Schizosaccharomyces pombe: one gene and its partners. The protein of the gene in region 2 binds, or shares a complex with, the protein of the main gene of each other region. Each region holds a gene or a part of one and is shown on either strand. Other genes may lie near its edges.

Evidence for each region.
Region 1: fyv4 (region 2) and rsm27 share a complex: the UniProt entries of both Schizosaccharomyces pombe proteins name them as parts of the mitochondrial small ribosomal subunit.
Region 3: fyv4 (region 2) and sws2 share a complex: the UniProt entries of both Schizosaccharomyces pombe proteins name them as parts of the mitochondrial small ribosomal subunit.

Annotation. Positions count from the first base shown.
Region 1 is NC_003423.3:3,070,167-3,075,262, reverse strand, and holds rsm27 (mitochondrial 37S ribosomal protein mS33), read right to left. Parts: upstream 3,010-5,096; 5' UTR 2,870-3,009; coding exon 2,634-2,869; intron 2,569-2,633; coding exon 2,531-2,568; intron 2,478-2,530; coding exon 2,470-2,477; 3' UTR 2,276-2,469; downstream 1-2,275. Other genes in the region: gpi1 (pig-Q), read left to right, coding at 314-2,275; pyruvate dehydrogenase e1 component beta subunit Pdb1, read right to left, coding at 3,620-4,720. UniProt on the Schizosaccharomyces pombe protein: Component of the mitochondrial ribosome (mitoribosome), a dedicated translation machinery responsible for the synthesis of mitochondrial genome-encoded proteins, including at least some of the essential transmembrane subunits of the mitochondrial respiratory chain.
Region 2 is NC_003423.3:3,432,164-3,438,137, reverse strand, and holds fyv4 (mitochondrial 37S ribosomal protein mS41 ), read right to left. Parts: upstream 4,471-5,974; 5' UTR 4,413-4,470; coding exon 4,319-4,412; exon of another isoform or gene 4,269-4,318; coding exon 4,021-4,268; 3' UTR 3,911-4,020; coding exon of another isoform or gene 3,578-3,910; 3' UTR 3,311-3,577; coding exon of another isoform or gene 1,766-3,310; 3' UTR 630-1,765; downstream 1-629. Other genes in the region: syj1 (inositol-1,4,5-trisphosphate 5-phosphatase 1), read right to left, coding at 1-585; plasma membrane pantothenate transmembrane transporter Liz1, read left to right, coding at 1,766-3,310; SPOM_SPBC4B4.12C (uncharacterized protein), read left to right, coding at 3,578-3,910; autophagy-associated protein Atg5, read left to right, coding at 4,948-5,046, 5,133-5,251, 5,298-5,472, 5,544-5,936. UniProt on the Schizosaccharomyces pombe protein: Component of the mitochondrial ribosome (mitoribosome), a dedicated translation machinery responsible for the synthesis of mitochondrial genome-encoded proteins, including at least some of the essential transmembrane subunits of the mitochondrial respiratory chain.
Region 3 is NC_003421.2:980,555-986,734, forward strand, and holds sws2 (mitochondrial 37S ribosomal protein uS13m), read right to left. Parts: upstream 4,601-6,180; 5' UTR 4,438-4,600; coding exon 4,157-4,437; exon of another isoform or gene 4,087-4,156; coding exon 3,912-4,086; 3' UTR 3,690-3,911; coding exon of another isoform or gene 995-3,689; 3' UTR 938-994; coding exon of another isoform or gene 657-937; 3' UTR 592-656; downstream 1-591. Other genes in the region: vid21 (NuA4 histone acetyltransferase complex scaffold subunit Vid21/Eaf1), read left to right, coding at 566-574, 657-937, 995-3,689; P-factor pheromone Map2, read right to left, coding at 5,525-6,130. UniProt on the Schizosaccharomyces pombe protein: Component of the mitochondrial ribosome (mitoribosome), a dedicated translation machinery responsible for the synthesis of mitochondrial genome-encoded proteins, including at least some of the essential transmembrane subunits of the mitochondrial respiratory chain.

The DNA of each region.
Region 1 (5,096 bases), 360 kb from region 2:
GTTCCTTCATACGTACTACTGTTTACCGTTTTAGGATTTTTTATTTTCATTCTTTTAGAACGAATCGCTGAATCCGAAGCTCGTAACTCAACGTCAGTTAGCGGTGGCATTTCTGCAAGGGAACAGCTTTTACGTCGAGGAAGTTTTTGATTTTACAACTTGAGTTCTAAACACCGGAGAGAGCAGTATCATCTCCTGTTATATTTTTCTTAACAAAAGTTTTTTGTATGCTTCTAAAGTCTGTTATTACTTGTTTGTCTTTTTTATTAAACACTTCGGAATTGACTTCAGAGCATTCAATATTATATTTCAAATGTCTACCACAACCATGAATATAGCTTCGGCTCCAATTGAAGTGAAACGGATATATTGGCCCAAAAGTACGATCTCTTATACCGATTCTGGTTACTTAGTTGGTTGGAAGTACTCTACCAACGATCTTATCGTTGTGACAACAATTACTAGTTATCAATCCTTCGCTAATTTTTTAGTTGATTATTGCAAAAATCAAGATCAATCAGTAGATATTAAATCTCTGTGTATATTAGGCACGTTTAATTGCTCTGCCGATATTTTGCCGGGTGACAAATATGAAATTGATTGTTGGATCAAAGTGCAGCAATCGACTGAGCTTTCTCATCCCCGAGTTTTCGATTCGGCTAGTACGCCTTTAAAAATAAATCTGCATATAATTTATTATCATCCTCCGCAGCCAAGAAAAATGCAATTTCTTTCCCTTGAACCTCTATCGCTTTTATTGTTAAAAGATAGTTTTATTAACAAGTCAAACCCTGAATACGAAAGCATGCAACACCAGCAAATACTGTTAAAAAAATTGAAATTGCACTTTCCCCGACGCAAAGAAAATAGCTGGAAAAGGAGTCTACGCTCAGGCTTAATTGAGCTTCTTAATCAATCCTTCGAGGTTCGCATGTTAACACATGAAAATAATAACAAAAAAAATTCATATGTTTTTCGACTTTTTGATCGTGTCTCGTCATCAACCTTTTATTTTTTTAATTCGCTGTTTGCTTACTTTATCATATTATTGAGGATAATTAATGAGGTTATACTCTTGGCGATTAATTACCGACCGATTCCTTTATCTTATAATATGATGGATATTTTCGTTTCTGCTCGTCAAGTAGATTTGAGGTTGCAACAAGCGTGTTTTTGGCCTGTACAATATATGAAATTATGGGTTTTTCGGAAAAGCAAGCGCGTTGCGATAGAGGATTACAAAGAATATATTAGATTCTATAACAACCTTTGGTTGGTTGCGAATGACATGATCTTTGGGATTACAATGAGTTCATTTATTTTAGAGAATCTTCATCTGGTGGTAAAATTAATAGAAAATATCACATTCGAGTATGCGATAAAAAACGTTCGTTCTATGGTTATATGGCTCGTGGATACTCCTGCTGGATTAAAACTAAACAACGACATTTGCAAGTTTATTATGAAGCTTTCTGTATGGGTTATTGACGTATGGAGTAATTTTCTTTTGCATTGTTTGCCTTGGACTCCATTTTTGGTTCAAGTTGTCGCTATTTCTGGGTTTGGGGGTGCTAGTTTAATGATCGCTTTAATTTCTGATTTTTTAAGTGTTATGACTATTCATATACATTTGCTTTATTTGGCTTCATCACGTTTGTATAATTGGCAGCTACGTGTAATTTATAGTTTGCTGCAGCTTTTTCGAGGAAAAAAAAGAAACGTTTTACGAAATAGAATCGACTCATATGAGTATGATTTAGACCAACTACTTTTAGGAACAATCCTTTTTACGGTACTAATATTCTTCTTACCTACAATATATGTTTTCTATGCAGCATTTGCATTAACACGAGTATCCGTGATGACATGCTTGGCAATCTGTGAAACTATGTTAGCCTTCCTGAATCACTTCCCATTATTTGTTACAATGTTACGAATTAAAGATCCTTATAGAATACCAAGTGGGCTGAATTTTGAGATAGTCAGCTTTGAACCATTAAAACAAGACGGCTTCGCAACGCTATATCTCAATTGCAACTCCAAACCGATGTCTCTTGGATCCATGTTTGAGCATTATCGGAAACTGGCGCGTAGGTTAATTTCGCATTACCTTTCAAAAACTACTTTGATTAGTTTGCTCGTAGGTTGCCCAGTTCCAGCGATACCTGCTGAGCAACTCTACAATATCCAGTACGCTATGCTTCCGACCAAAAGAATATCTATTAGAAAACTGCGAGATCTTCTTTTTCATCAGAAAAAATTTCCTTACGACTGATCAAAATGTTAAGTATTGTTGCACACAGTTGATATATAATATTTTTTGTTTATGAAACAACAAAATTTTTATAATTAAACTTAGTTTATCAGTTTCGTTCAAAGCTGTTTAGCCGTTACCCATTTGATAATAATTGGAAAGAAAATGTGCGAAATGTAACCGCAAAGTATTAGAAAGGCACAATTTTCAATTATTTATTTTTCTAAACAGGAGTTAGAAGGTTCCTAATTCGGTTTTATAGTAAGCTTTACATACTTTTTGACTTGGAGGCTCCTTTTCCTTGGCGTATTCTCCTAGTATTTTAATTAGCTAATTTCTTGTGAAAGAAACATTCAATCTCAATTAACAACTAACATACCCTTTCCTGATTTCCATTCGCAATTCCTCATCACTATCGGGAAATGTTTTATCATTTAAAAGGGTCCTTAATTGACGATAATTGATAGTTGCGGGATAGTAGCTCTTCAGTTTTGCTCCCTTCAGCTCTTGTACTACAAATTTGCGACCCGTTCTCGAGTTGTTTGATTTATACTGAGTGCCAAATATTTTTGATGAGAGAATATTTAATTCTTCCAGGATTGCTTTGCTAGCCATGATTTTATACCAAAAATTAGGGAAGGCTCCTAGGGAATGTGGTTGCTTAAAGTTAAAGGCAAAACGAAATAAAAACAACAATAATAAGGCTAAAGACACTACTATGATTTCATCTGCAAGGATTCTGAAATTCTGTTATTGTAAGTATTATTAGCGCAAGTCTACTTAGATATACTACAGCGGATGATGTGGGATAAGTAGTTCATCAACCCCACATGGAAACATTTTGGTGCATTGACTAAAGATAGACCTGTAAATAGGTTTAGTGGGATCAAGTACTTAATATTCTACGCTTTAAGAGGTTACGAGTAGTTAAGTAGAGTATAATAGACACCAAATAGTTGAACATATTCATATAGCGTATTATTTCCATTAGCTGTAATATAATATAATTGAAGTTCACTGGCTTTCAGATTACGTTAAAAAACTTACACGAATTTAGTAATATATACAATATAACATATATTAAGGATAAACGAAGCAAAACTATCCTGAAAGGTAGATATACCAACCCGGATAACCAATTGGAAAGATGGTTGGAAAAATCATATCTTCGCAAATAATTGCAAAGAAATTAAAACCATCTAAGACCCACACACAATAATCTGAGTCATTAAAGACAAGCATCTTAGATATTTACACTTTGTAGATAATGTAAAAATAATAGAAAGCGAAATACGTAGATATCAACTATTCGGAAAAGGGAAAAGAGCGGGTTTTATTAAACAGATGACTCAACAATTGAGCTTGTTATTTAATATACAAGCATTTTTTAGCAGCAGCAACAACAACATCGGCATTTGGGACAGAAGCAGCCTCAACAGGATGACTATAAGGCATGGGAACATCTGCCATACTTACACGTTCAACAGGAGCATCAAGATAATCAAATGCGTCAGACTCCATAATTTGAGCAGCAATTTCACTACCAATACCATGTTGACTATATGCCTGGTCAACAGTCACAATACGATTTGTCTTCTTAACACTGGCCGCGATAGTATTGATGTCTAAAGGACGAATACTACGCAAGTTTATAACTTCAGCTTCAACACCATAGTCAGCCTTGAGCTTGTCAGCTGCTTCTAAAGCAGTAACAACAGAAATAGACTCACCAACGATGGTGATATCTTTACCGGGGCGCTCCACCTTAGCAAGGCCAAAGGGAAGCACAAAGTCCTCGCTCAACGCTTCTTTCGAAATTGGAAAGGTTTTACCATAAAGAATTTCGTTTTCAAGTACAACAACGGGATTAGGATCACGAATAGCAGCCTTCAACAAACCACGAGCATCTTCTGCTGAGTAAGGAGAAACTACTTTAAGACCAGGGATACTACCATACCATGGAGCAAAGTGTTGAGAATGCTGAGCAGCAACTGCAGCGGCAGGCCCATTAGGTCCACGGAAGACAATAGGACAAGCCTGAATACCACCAGACATGTACAGGGTTCTGGCGGCCGAGTTAACGATATGATCGATAGCCTGCATGGAAAAATTGAAAGTCATAAACTCACAAATAGGACGTAAACCAGCAAAAGCAGCACCTGTTGCCAAACCAGTAAAACCCATTTCAGTAATGGGAGTGTCGATAACACGTTTAGGACCAAACTTGTCTAATAAACCTCTAGATATCTTATAAGCACCATTGTATTGCGCAACCTCTTCGCCAATCAAGAAGACACGATCGTCACGTTTCATTTCTTCTTCCATTGCACTGTTCAAAGCATCACGAACGGTCATTTCCTTCACTCCATTGGAAGAAGAAGAATAGCGCTTTGCGATGGTTGAACTAAGAAGTTTCCAAGAACGACTGGTCCCAACAATTTCACCAAACTTTTGAAGACGAATCATTTTAAATTCCCTCAAACTTCTTTTTAACTTCGTTAAAAATTAGGGCTATCCCGCTGTGTTGTTGTATATGTGTAGTGGGCAAAGTAGAACAGTGTGATGGTAAAATATTTCGAGTTGGCTTATGGTACAACAAATTAAATACAGTACGTAGATGATTAACAAGAATACTACCACTTTTATAAATTTTGTGTTTATTGCAAATGACAAAAGAATGGTTAAACAGTCTGATATGATTATAACCTCTTAGTAGTATCATTTGTTTCATCTTATTTTTGCTAAATAGTGAAATGTGTACATACTGAAGCAGCTGCAATAACGTGCTTAACCGATAAAGATAATTTGTTATCACTAGATACGGTGCTCAAAATTGATTGCC
Region 2 (5,974 bases):
CAACTGTCTAAGCATAAATTCGTTCCACATAAATTGAGTATGCATGCTATCATATTGAGGCTCCGTCATTGTTTGAGACGTACGAAGTTGCAGTCGGGTAGTAATGTCAAAATCGAGAGAAAAGTAAAATGATCCATTTGTTAATAGCTTTCTGAGACTACTGAATGGTTCAGCGGCATACTTGTAAGAATCATAGCCTTGGGTATCGGTATCGTAACCATCCGGAATATCAGGCGAGTAATTTTCTTGTCGAATGTGATCCCAGTTTGAACGATTAACACTGTAAAAGCAGACCTCCATGATACGAAAAACTCTTTCTTTATCTCGCACACGTGCTACCTCACTAGCTCCACTAATCACGCACAAAAAATTGGACCCTTCTAATTCAATCAGACCTAGAGTACCATAAATTCGATGACTGGAGATTTTTCGAAATCCTTCTAACGGCTTTTCTGACAATGCCGTAAATTCTGCAACACATACTGATAAAGAGTTTTTGTTCTGAGGAACCGAATGAAACATAAGAGCATGGTCCTTATTGACTAAGGCCAAGGATCTTGGCTTTTCCCTCAGCAGACATTGCATCTTAAGATTCACAAATGTGAACTATAAATAATAAAATTCGTTCTGTAATGAACGATGCAAGTCTTTACCAACGATGTTTGTCCGAACAAGTTATAAATCTTGGGATACGAAGTTGGGTGGTGTTGGGTGACAAAAACGTTCGTTACTTAAACATTATAGAAGCGCTTCTGTAAATTAGAATAAGTAAACGGCTTATTTTAATTTACTATGTTAAAATGTATTCCAAAAAATTTTGGTTCTAATATATGGAAGTTTCTGGTCAATTTTTAAAGTGCATTTGCTTTACAAAACTCGTAACCCTTGTAAACATATTTCATTGATTATGGGTAGAAAACCATTGAAACAAGAAAATCATAAGAGAAGCGATCTTGCTAAAACGTAACGTAACAGGATTTCAAGGCACTTCCATAAGATTGGTACTGTCAAAAAATGTATTATAATTCACTTTCGTTCATCAACAGTGCCATTGTTAATTTCAAAAACACCAAGTTGCACAAGAATACAGCGGTTACTCCAACGTATTAAAAATAAAAGTCAAACAGATACAGTATTCGGCAGAAAAAACCCCCATCTTAAGAGCTAAGATTATTTGAGCTCTCCGAAGATGTTCGCTGACGCTGAATAGCTTCAACTATGGCAATTTTTTACATTTCAAATGTGTTGGTTACTGTAATAGTATGTTTAATCTCGCAAATAGTGGTTATTGTATTGTAGCCACTTGAACCGAATGCTTATTAATTGAAAGGTTAGATGTTTTTTGCAATACAGTTAATTTCCACAAATAGAGCAGCAAAGTATAGTACTCATTGTGGCTACGTCGAGAATAAGTATCCAACTTGCTAGCCAATTCCGAGTAATCAGCGCACATCTAAAAATTAAGATTGGGTTTCCGGCATTGATATTGTCACTTTTTAGAAGGCTCGATCGATACTTATAATCTTGATTTTTCAGAAAAATTAAAGAAAAAATTTTCCTGGCTGGAGCATATTGATATTCCAACAGTCTGCAATTCGATTTTGACTCGAAGTGTTTGTTCCTTGCTTAGGTCCCTGGCTTTACTTTAATATAGGCACTTTTCATGAGAATCCATTGAAATTGTACGTTTTCTAAAGCCATAAAAATTTAAGTTAGGTCTCCTCTGTAAATTGTCGTGAATATTTCATAAGTGAGACAAGTCGTAATGGCGTTACTAAATAGGTTGGCAAAAACCTTTTCCCCTTATTATGGATTAAACAAAGTTGAACAAAAGCTTTTAATAAAAATAGATTGGTTCATACTTTCTTACTGTTGCGTTTCATATTTTATTAATTACTTGGATAGATCATCAATAAACAATGCATACCTTAGTGGTATGCAAGAGGATTTGAAAATGCATGGTAATGAATTGCAAGATATAAACGTTGTTTTTACATGTGGATACATTATAGGACAATTGCCAGGTTCTTATGCATTACAGAGAGTACCAGCAAGACTTTGGTTTTCGGTTATGAATATTTTATGGGGACTTATGACGATTTTTTCATTTGCGGTACATTCCGTTCGAGCATTGATGATTTTACGCTTTTTCATGGCGGTTGCGGAGGCATCTACATTTGCTGGTACGCATTATATATTGGGCGCATGGTACAAAGAAAGTGAACTATGCAAACGTGCCGGAATTTTTTCAGCCTCTGGTTTAGTCGGCACAATGTTTGCTGGGTATTTGCAAACAGCAGTTCATTCATCATTAAATGGTAAAGGTGGTTTATCTGGTTGGCGTTGGCTTTTTATAATTGATGGCATTTTGACGATTCCTCTTTCATTATATGGGCTCTTTCTGTTTCCTGACGTTCCAGAAACAACCAAGGCTCCTTATTTTACAGAACAAGAAAAAGAATTAAGTTTCAAAAGGCTACCCGCTCGCCCCAAGAAGAAGCCATTAACGCTAAAAGCGATAAAGGATATTGTACGTTCATGGCGAATTTACGGTTTGTGCATCCTTTGGATTTTTAGCGGAGAAACACAAGCTATAGCTGTCAATGTATTGATGGGTCAGTGGATGAAATGGAGCAACAAATTTTCTGTTGCCCAAATAAATAATTACCCAACTGTGATTACAGCTGTTGGCGTAGTATCAACGTTAGGTGCTAGTGTTATTTCTGATAAATTAGCTGGAAACCCAAGATGGCCTTTTGGACTTTTTCTGTGCGTAATTACTACTGTTTCTGCTACAATACTTCTAGCATGGAACGTGCCAGATGGCGCAAAATTCTTTGCTTATTTCGCTTCTGGTTGTACATATGCTGGACAAGCAGTTTGGTTTTCTTGGGCAAATGACATTTGCCGGGATAATGATCAGGAAAGAGGAGTTGTTGTGTTTTTGATGAATATGTGTCAGAATATCTGGCATATTTGGTGGGCACCTATAATGTATCCCAATACTGATACGCCTCGATTTATAAAAGGATTAATTGGTTTGCTGGTGGTAGGAGGAATAGTCTTTGTTAGCTCTTGTATTGTTAGTTACATGCAAATCCGCGATAAAAGAATTAAACGATCCATCCAGGATGCAAAAGATTTCGATGATGTATTCACTGAGCATGAAAGTTTAGAGTTAAAAAAAATAGGCAAAAATGATGAGGAATCACTCAACACAACTAATGCGGTCAAAGAAATTAGTTCTCCAGGGCTTGTGATAACGCGACAGCGAATTTCCATGCCAAAAGAAACGAATGCCCAAGATTAGTACTAGAAGATTAATGACATAGTATAAATATTCCTTATGCCTTTAAGTACACATTTAGAGTAAATTTGCTGTTCATATTGATATCAACCTAACATAAAAATTTACCACAGTTGGCTCATCTAATTGACCAAGCCCTTTGACGCAAACGCAAACGAATACCTTTGCACACATACTCAAAAAGAATCTGCTAACAAACGATTTAAGGTGCAGCTGAAGTTAAAAATTTATAACCATTAAATAGAAATACCAACTATACGTATAGTTTGGATGGTATCCGGCAATGATCAACAAGTTATTGAGTATACATCAGTCCTAAAGGAATTTAGCGATGGTGTAGACTTAATGGAGCTAAAAGAAAATTTTTTATATATTAGGACTAGAGAAAAAATTGAAGCTAAATTAATCTGGGCAGGAGAGTGGGAATGGAAGCCCGTGAACGAAACAAATGAAAATAACTTGGAAAGAGGGAGACAATACCCTAGCGCCAATTCCGCACTAATGGAAAATTCTCCAGAATTTGCTAAATGGTTTCATGGACAATTGTTTAATCGGCTTTGCGTTCTAGGCTCCACATCTTCGTCGAGAAAAGACATGCTTTGAACAGTGTTGGCTATTTTAAGCAAATTTTAGATTAATTCGAACTCAAGCAAAAACTCAACTACAAAAAGAAGAAAGAATGTCTCAAAAGAATATAATATTCCATATACTTATTATTTACGTTTGCGTCGCTCACCTCCATTCTTTTTAACCATAACTGGATATGGCTTAACTATAAACCCTTCTTTAAATCGGTTTCTTTGGCTTGCAATGTATTTCCTTGTACGTACATCAATACCTTCCTTTTTCATAGTTTTTGTACTTTTCCTAAATAGACCATCCCAAGACTCGAATTTTCCGTTCACTTTTTCTGCAGTATCTCTTCCAATTCTTTTAAAGAAATCATTTGTATTAGAAATCCCTGAATCTTGTTAGGAATTTAAATTGCACTAATGTTTTGAAATCTCATACCTGATCTTGGACTAGGAACAGTAGAGGCATACCGGCAGTTAGAAAAAGGAAATATAAAATTTCTTATAATGAAAATCCTCTTCAAGATCAACATATTTACCAGTATTGTTTTAAAAATATTTGGTTGTTTAAATAAGTTGTGTACAGTTTCTGGAACGTATGCGAAAGTCTCACAAACGTACTAGCGACTCATAGTGCGACCATGTCAAGCTTAGTGCCTGCAATTATTAGCTATATAAATCCTTGCTTTTAATTCTTTTATGAGATTTACTGCATGCAAACTTTCAAGTCCCTTGAATATCTCAAACTTCTACTTCCGAAAAGTCATTACGTGTCTATTAACTAATCAATACAGTGAATCTACAAATTCCTAATTGCGGTTTTTGTATAGCAGGAACTCGTATTTTGAACATATAAATTACCAGTTATATTTTCGGGTGAATTTTTTGAAGACTCTACTATGTGTATTTAAAGCCCACTTACTTTAATTGTAAAAACATTAATTTAACTAATTATAGTGAATGTCTGACTCTAAGCTATTTATCAACGCATTCCAACCACCCACGAGTTTGTTAAGTATACAACAAAAGCACAATTTCTAATCACAGTATTGGAGATGTTTTTTAAAAATGAATGTCGATAATAATAAAGGCAATATTCCAGAGCTCCTTTGGAATGGCACTATTTCTGTGCGCATTGATTATGAAGGTAATTCTCTGGCCTATCTAGTATGTGATTTGTTCACTCAAGTAGTAATTTAATATTCTTTAACTCAATTTATTTTTTCCTTTTTGCTCACCATATTCTACCTAAGGCTAACGTCCCGCGACAATCATATTTTGCTCAAATACTCCCAAATGTTCAACGTCTGTTGGCACCTTCAATCCCTTTATCAGAATGTTGGTTGGATTATAATGGGGTTCCTCTTAAATGGTATCGTTTACCCAAAGTAACTTTCCGTAAATTAATCATAATATAGGCATTGGCCTGTTGGCTTACTTTTCGATTTGTTAACAGTGTTTGATCCGGATACTCCTCGAGCGCCGGTGCTATGGCGCATTCAATTGCGCTCAGGTCTATTTCCTACAACCAAAATACTTCAAATGGAAACCATGGATACTTTTCGAACATATTTTTTCAACTGCTTAAAAGAGGTGCGTTCTCTATCACAAAAACATATATGATTTATTTACAAAAGGGGTAAATCCATATTAACTTTTTACAGTCTGATTACGTTCGTAACGGAAGTTCGTCTGGAATAATCGCTCTTTCAAAGGCAGAAACAGACACCTACTGGAATGCAATACTCAATCATGATTACTATGATTTCCGTCCCATTGCTATAAAAATACTTTTTTCAAAATCCAAATTCATTCCTTTAAAAATTTATTTAGGGGCCAATGCTCCTATTATACAAACTTCTGCACCTCTTGGTAGTTCTCTTGGTGAGTTTCTCAATAAACGCCTTCCCGACTTGTTTCCATCATGTGATAAATTCTTAATAGTTAAACCAGTTATTCATGGTATTACAATTTTTCTTCAGAGCGTTTTAGACGAGCTCAATCGAGATTTCTGTTACATTGATGGGTTTTTACATATTGTTTTAATGAAAGTTTAAAACATTTACGTCTCTTCTCTAGCTCCTTTAGATAATTT
Region 3 (6,180 bases), on a different chromosome or scaffold from region 2:
TAGAAAAACTTGATCATAAATAAGAGTCTTTCACAATTCCTAGCACGTCGTAAAATAATAAATACAAATTGAAAATAAGGGAGAAATAGATCACTTAACGATAGTTTTTTTAGAATGATATGATAGTAGGTTTGGCATGTAGCTCAACTGAATGTATTTTTGAATAATTTAAGTTGAAAGGGAAACGTTTTTAAAGCTTTGAAATATGCCGATAACCTTTATGGTAACGTCTCAACTTTTAAATAGAACAAGCGATTTCTCCGAGCAACAAAAAGACGAAAATAAAAGACAGTCTTATTGCTGTACTTGTAGTTCAAAACTGTGTCCTAGTAGAGTGCTATTTCCTTGTTTTTCTACTTCACCTAATATGGTGGTTGATTGCGGGCTCAAATCCCTTGGGGGGCCTCAACACCATCAGACTAACTTCGTTCACATTAGGTCTGAAAGTATACAGGATCCTTGAGTTCTTTATATCATCATACAATAAATATAAAAGCAAAACTGTGTCTTTTCTAGAATACGATTTGTATGCTTTTTCCAGCGTAATTCCGCTTAAATTGGGATTATGAAACAGGTACGTTTTTACGAGTCTTACGGGCCTTAAAGTGATAATTTTATTGTACTTCGATAACTAATTAATATTTTTAATTAAAAAGAAGGAGACCAAAACCAGTCAAATTGCTTTAGTCGATGGTGAAAAATTATCGATAACAGATTCTTTTGCCTCCCTTTTTACTCTAGACGAAGAAGAAGAAAACGACTCTGTAGACAATGAAGAGATTAAGTTAACAAAAGAGAAACATGAAAAGTTACTTCTTTTATTTTGGTTGCATTGCAAGTTTCCTAATGGATTAGAATGGCTTCATTCATCAAGTGATCTTTTACCAGAGCAAGTTTCTGAGTGGTTTAACTTTTATCAAAAGTATCGTTTTAAAAGGTATGTCTCATTGAGTAACTTTTTGTATTTTCCTCAAATGTACAACTAACATGCAAGGGGGCGAAATTTTAATCTTTCAGCTAGAGAATCTGTAACTCCTATCGTTGAAGAACCGATAGTTCCCGAAGAACCCGATAATTTGGAAGGAGTTTCAGAGGAGACACCTTTAAAAGAAACTTCCCTAGAACTTAGCGAGGAGGAAATTATAACGTCAAAATCTCCCATACCTTCACCTGAAACTATACATAAAAATATTGACGTAGAAGAGAAAGAAACTATTGAACCAACAACACCCGTAAAAGAAGTGGAAACCACTGCTCATGCTGAAGAGGAAAAAGGCCCTTTGACGCCAGATAGCGAGTATGCTGCTCGACAGCTTACCGAAGAACTTGCAAACAAATCCTCTCAAGAAGAAGGAGTCGATAAGCAATTAAGAGTGGTTGAAGCTACCGAAAAGGAACATGAGGAAGATGGGAATGAAGAAAATGTGACCGTTACCAAACCGGTAGAGGTTGCGACTGATCAAGTTGAGTCTAAAGAAGTGAAAAAGAAAGAGGTATCAGAGACAACGGAACCTACGGCTCCCCCTGTCACTGTTGCAGAAGTTTTGGAAATTGAAGATAAAGTCCCAAAGGTTGATGAAGTTGAAGAAGTTCATTCTCCTGAAGCCAAGGTCACTGAAAATGATGTTGAGAATGTACAATCAGGTATTGATATTGAAAAAACTATACAATTATTAAATAATCAAGAGATTCCTTCGGAACAACAAATCATTTCCGTTGACAAGGCCACTGAATCTCCTGTTCAGGAAGTAGCGGTTGATGTCAACGAGAAGCCAGTAGATGAAATTGTTGAGCCTAGTAAATTACAAATGGAAAATAAGTTACCATCGGAAAAATCCCCTACAATTGACAGAACTGGGGTTGAAGCTCCGCTTTTTGAACTTTCTGTATCTATGCCACTAACTTTAATTCCTCCTTCAAAATTTTCTGAACCGGTGAAACCAGAGCTTTCCTCAGAAGCATGGCTGCTTCGAACAGAAATGTCGCCTTTACATTTAAGGTTGAAAAATGCACATAAATATGTTCTATCAGATAACTGGTCTCATGCGTATCGCGAGGAAATTGTACGACAATCACTACATCATTTAACGGTTGCAAAAGAAAAAGGTATTTGGTCCTTTAGACAGCCCAAAAGACAAAACGAGATGCCACGATTGAAAACTCATCGGGATTATGTTTTGGATGAGATGCAATGGATGTCAATTGATTTTTCTCAAGAGCGTAAATGGAAAATTATATTGGCTCATAGAATGGCGAATTGGGTAATGGATTACCATCAAGCTAGTGATAAATGTACTGTTTGTACTCCGGCTTCGTTGTCAAAGAATAAGAAGCCGTACATGCAAGAGAATGAACATCAGAAAGACTCTCACGAGGAAACGTTTAATGAACAAATAGTGAGCCATTTTAATCTAAATGATAATAATAACAACAAAGTGCTCTCTATTCCCAGGGATTCTTTACAGTTTTATAATGCTGTTTTTTCGGATGATATATTTGTGACAACAAACTCCGAACAAATTCAGAACTGCGTTTTAAACGTTCCTATGTACGGTCCTCCTACTGAAAACAATGAATATTGTGAAGAAATATCTGAAAAGTACCCGATCACTCCTGTGTCACGTTTTGCATATGCCAAAACAAAGCTTAAATCCACCTGTGCAAAGGCTTCTAGGAAACGTTTGTTCAACCAATTGGAATTATCACCACCTGAGTCGTTTATGGAAAAGAAGGCGAGAAGCGATGAGAACCAGCTAGATGGAAATAAAATTAAGGATGATAATCAGAAGCTATCCTCAGTAGGAACCTTTAGTGTGCGGCCTCCGTATCCGCCTTCTAGTAAAGATATTCGTCCAGAAGCCCCTTGGTTGCCCGAAGAAGATGAACTCCTTTTATTACTCTTGCGACGATATTCCTTTAATTGGGAATTTGTTGCCAGTAGGTTAACACCACCAGGTTTGTACATACCGCTTGCCGAGAAGCGGACTGCGTGGGATTGTTTTGAAAGATGGATTCAAGTGGATCCCAGAGCCGCCAATGTCCAATTGACTGGCTCCCATGCAAGACTCGCTCAGCAGAAATTAGATGAATCCTTAAGACATTCGGATAAAGTTAGCCAACATCTATCCTTACGGGATGAAGGAACACCTAACCATTTGATTAAACATAATTCTTACTTCTTATTGCCAACTGTATCAAGACATTACCGACCCATTACTATATTTGAAGCTATACGAAAGATCCTTAAAAAGAGAGAGTTTGCTAAAAAACCCACTATGACCAAGAGAGCGATTGCACCATCTGCAGCTTCAACTGAAAAATTGCCGCCGGTTCCTTCCCCTCTCGAACTTTCTCGTTTGAAATCTGAGCGTGAGGCACAAATACAGCAAATACAGGCTCAGAGAAACTTTGCACAATTGCAATCACAAAACAGGGCTCTACGGCCGCAAAACGCCGCTGTTGCTGCTGGTGCACAACAACACAACCAGCAACTAGCAGCCTTTCAAGCTGTAGCTGCTTCACAAAATAGTAGTAACAATTCATCAGCGGGTGTCTCGCCTATAGCTGGTAGAATGGTCCCCAGGCTTCAGCCATACGCTGTTTCCAGTTCTTTAAAACTAACACCTGAACAAATTCATCAGTTGCAGCAAAGGAAGCAAACTGTACCTACTACTGAAAGGACACAGTAAGTATCGCCTCAATGCAATTTTTCGATTTATTGTATTTTTTTTGAGTGCTGTTGTATATTAGAAGGAAATTACGAGGCGAGAGCTTTTTCTCTCACACAATAAAAATAGAATACGTTTTCATTTTCGTATCCCGGTTGTTGGTTTTTTAACAGAATCAAGCAAATCGAGGTAATACGAAGTGTACATGATAAGTGAAGTTTGATTTCATAAACGTTATTTTAGCTAATGAATATGTTTTAATTTTTGAAAGACAGACACCATTCTCGGTAGACAAAAACTCCATGTGATGGGCCTTGTAGAAGCGGGCGACAGTGTCATATAACCTCGTCGTGGGACTTTGTTTAGCTTCTTAGCAGTCTTTGCATTCGTCCGAGTGTTCTGTCCATTAACGGGTAACCTGAAATATTCATTAGTTAAGTTGAAAAAGTTGTCGAAGACAGCTACGTTCACAAATGATCTTTTCATACCCGTTTACATGTCTCATTCCCCGATAGCATCGGATATTCACCAATCTTGAGATATCAGCATTCCGTTGACGCCGTAAGTCACCTTCAATAGTCATTCCTGATAGCAGTTGCGACAACGTTGTCAATTGAACATTTGTCAGCTCTCGAACCCTTAACGTATTGTGAAATGATAATTTTGCGCATATTTCTTCAGCCTTGGCATGTCCAATTCCATAAAAAGAAAGTAGAGCAAACCGCACAGGTTTATCGTCGTTTACAGCCACTCCAAGTATGTATACCATGATGCAAAATCTCAGATATCAACAGATGAGACAGAAACCAGCTCAATAATGAAGTGGACAATTTGGTTTTGTAATTCAGTTCTCTATCAGTAATCAGAGAGCTTAAAACCGTTCTGAATATAAGTATTAGGCTTTCTTGTAAAAGAGTGGAGTGGTGGTGTTTAGATATAATACACAGTTGGATCTCTCATATTTTTAGAAAACTAGTTAGATTGTACAGACTCCGGGCCTAGTAATAAAAGACAATTTGAGTAATCATTAAAGAGCTACTATCTAAGGTGTAATTTGATGTTTAAGAAGACCATAAATAGGGCAAGGTAAGACGAAGAAAAACAAATAAAGAAGAGATATCGTCAAAGGCCTTCCTTTTCTGTTCAAATTTTAAAATTTATGAACTCAAATGATCCCTTCGTTCAATGGTCTCAGTTTAAAATTTATTATTGAAAAATATATTCACGACATTACTGTCTCTTACAAAGTTGAATGTTCAACAGTACATGCGGAAGTACAGTAAAAAGTTTTGGAATAAAATTTTATATATTCTAACAATGCTTTGCGGATCTCAACTGTCATATATATTTCAAGTGCAGCTCCTTTACATTGCTATGCTTGTGCAGGTCCTAGGCATTTTAAATGAGCAGTAGCTTTCCGCATTTCAATTGAAACTTCAGTGCTTTCTTCTTATATGGGATATGACTAATTTTATCGCTTAACACAATTGGTAGTGTTCATTTTTATTATTACTTAAGCAATCCGCAAATCATGTGGTTTAATAGTCAGTTTTTAAATTGATGTTTTATTTAACTTTAAAAAACAAAGCAACTGAAAGAAGTATAGTACTGTAGATTTCAGTAATATTGTAACTACTATACGTTTTTTCTTTTTTTTTTTTTTTTTTTTTTTTTTTTTTTACAATATGAAGACTAAGATGAAAATTAAAAATATTATTGCGAATAGGAATACAGATCGTATGGTAAAATAATAGATCGAAAATAGCAATTAATTTAAAAAATTGCTTCACATGGCTTTGTAAAGATGTGTGGGCTAACATACTAGAAAATAAAAAAAATATGAAGATAAAATGAGTTTAGCTCTCAAATTTGGCAGTAATATTGACATCTGTAATAGTGGAATTCTCTGGGACAGTCATGATATAAAACTGAAGAAAGCGATAGTATTCTTCATCCTCTTCCTCATTCTCTTCATCTTCTTCAGTGCGCTTTTTCAAGTTGGGTCTGTCAGGATTAACAAAAGTGTTCCAACTTTGGTAAGCACGAAGGAAATCAGCATAAGTTTTTGCGGGAGCAGCTTCGAATTCGCGCTTTTTCAAGTTGGGTCTGTCAGGATTAACAAAAGTGTTCCAACTATGGTAAGCACGAAGGAAATCAGCATAACTCTTCTCTGGGGCAGCTTCAAACTCACGCTTTTTCAAATTGGGTCTGTCAGGATTAACAAAAGTGTTCCAACTTTGATAAGCACGAAGGAAATCAGCATAAGTTTTTGCGGGAGCAGCTTCGAATTCGCGCTTTTTCAAGTTGGGTCTATCAGGATTAGCAAAAGTGTTCCAACTTTGGTAAACACGAAGGAAATCAGCATATGACTTGCTAACTGAAACCACACCAGGATCGGCAACTGGAATAGGTGAGGCAGCAGCAAGTGAGAATAAAAGGGCAATGACAGCGGTGATCTTCATAATGTATGTGAAAAAAATAAAATTTCGTTGATAAGTTAGAAAAAGAAAGA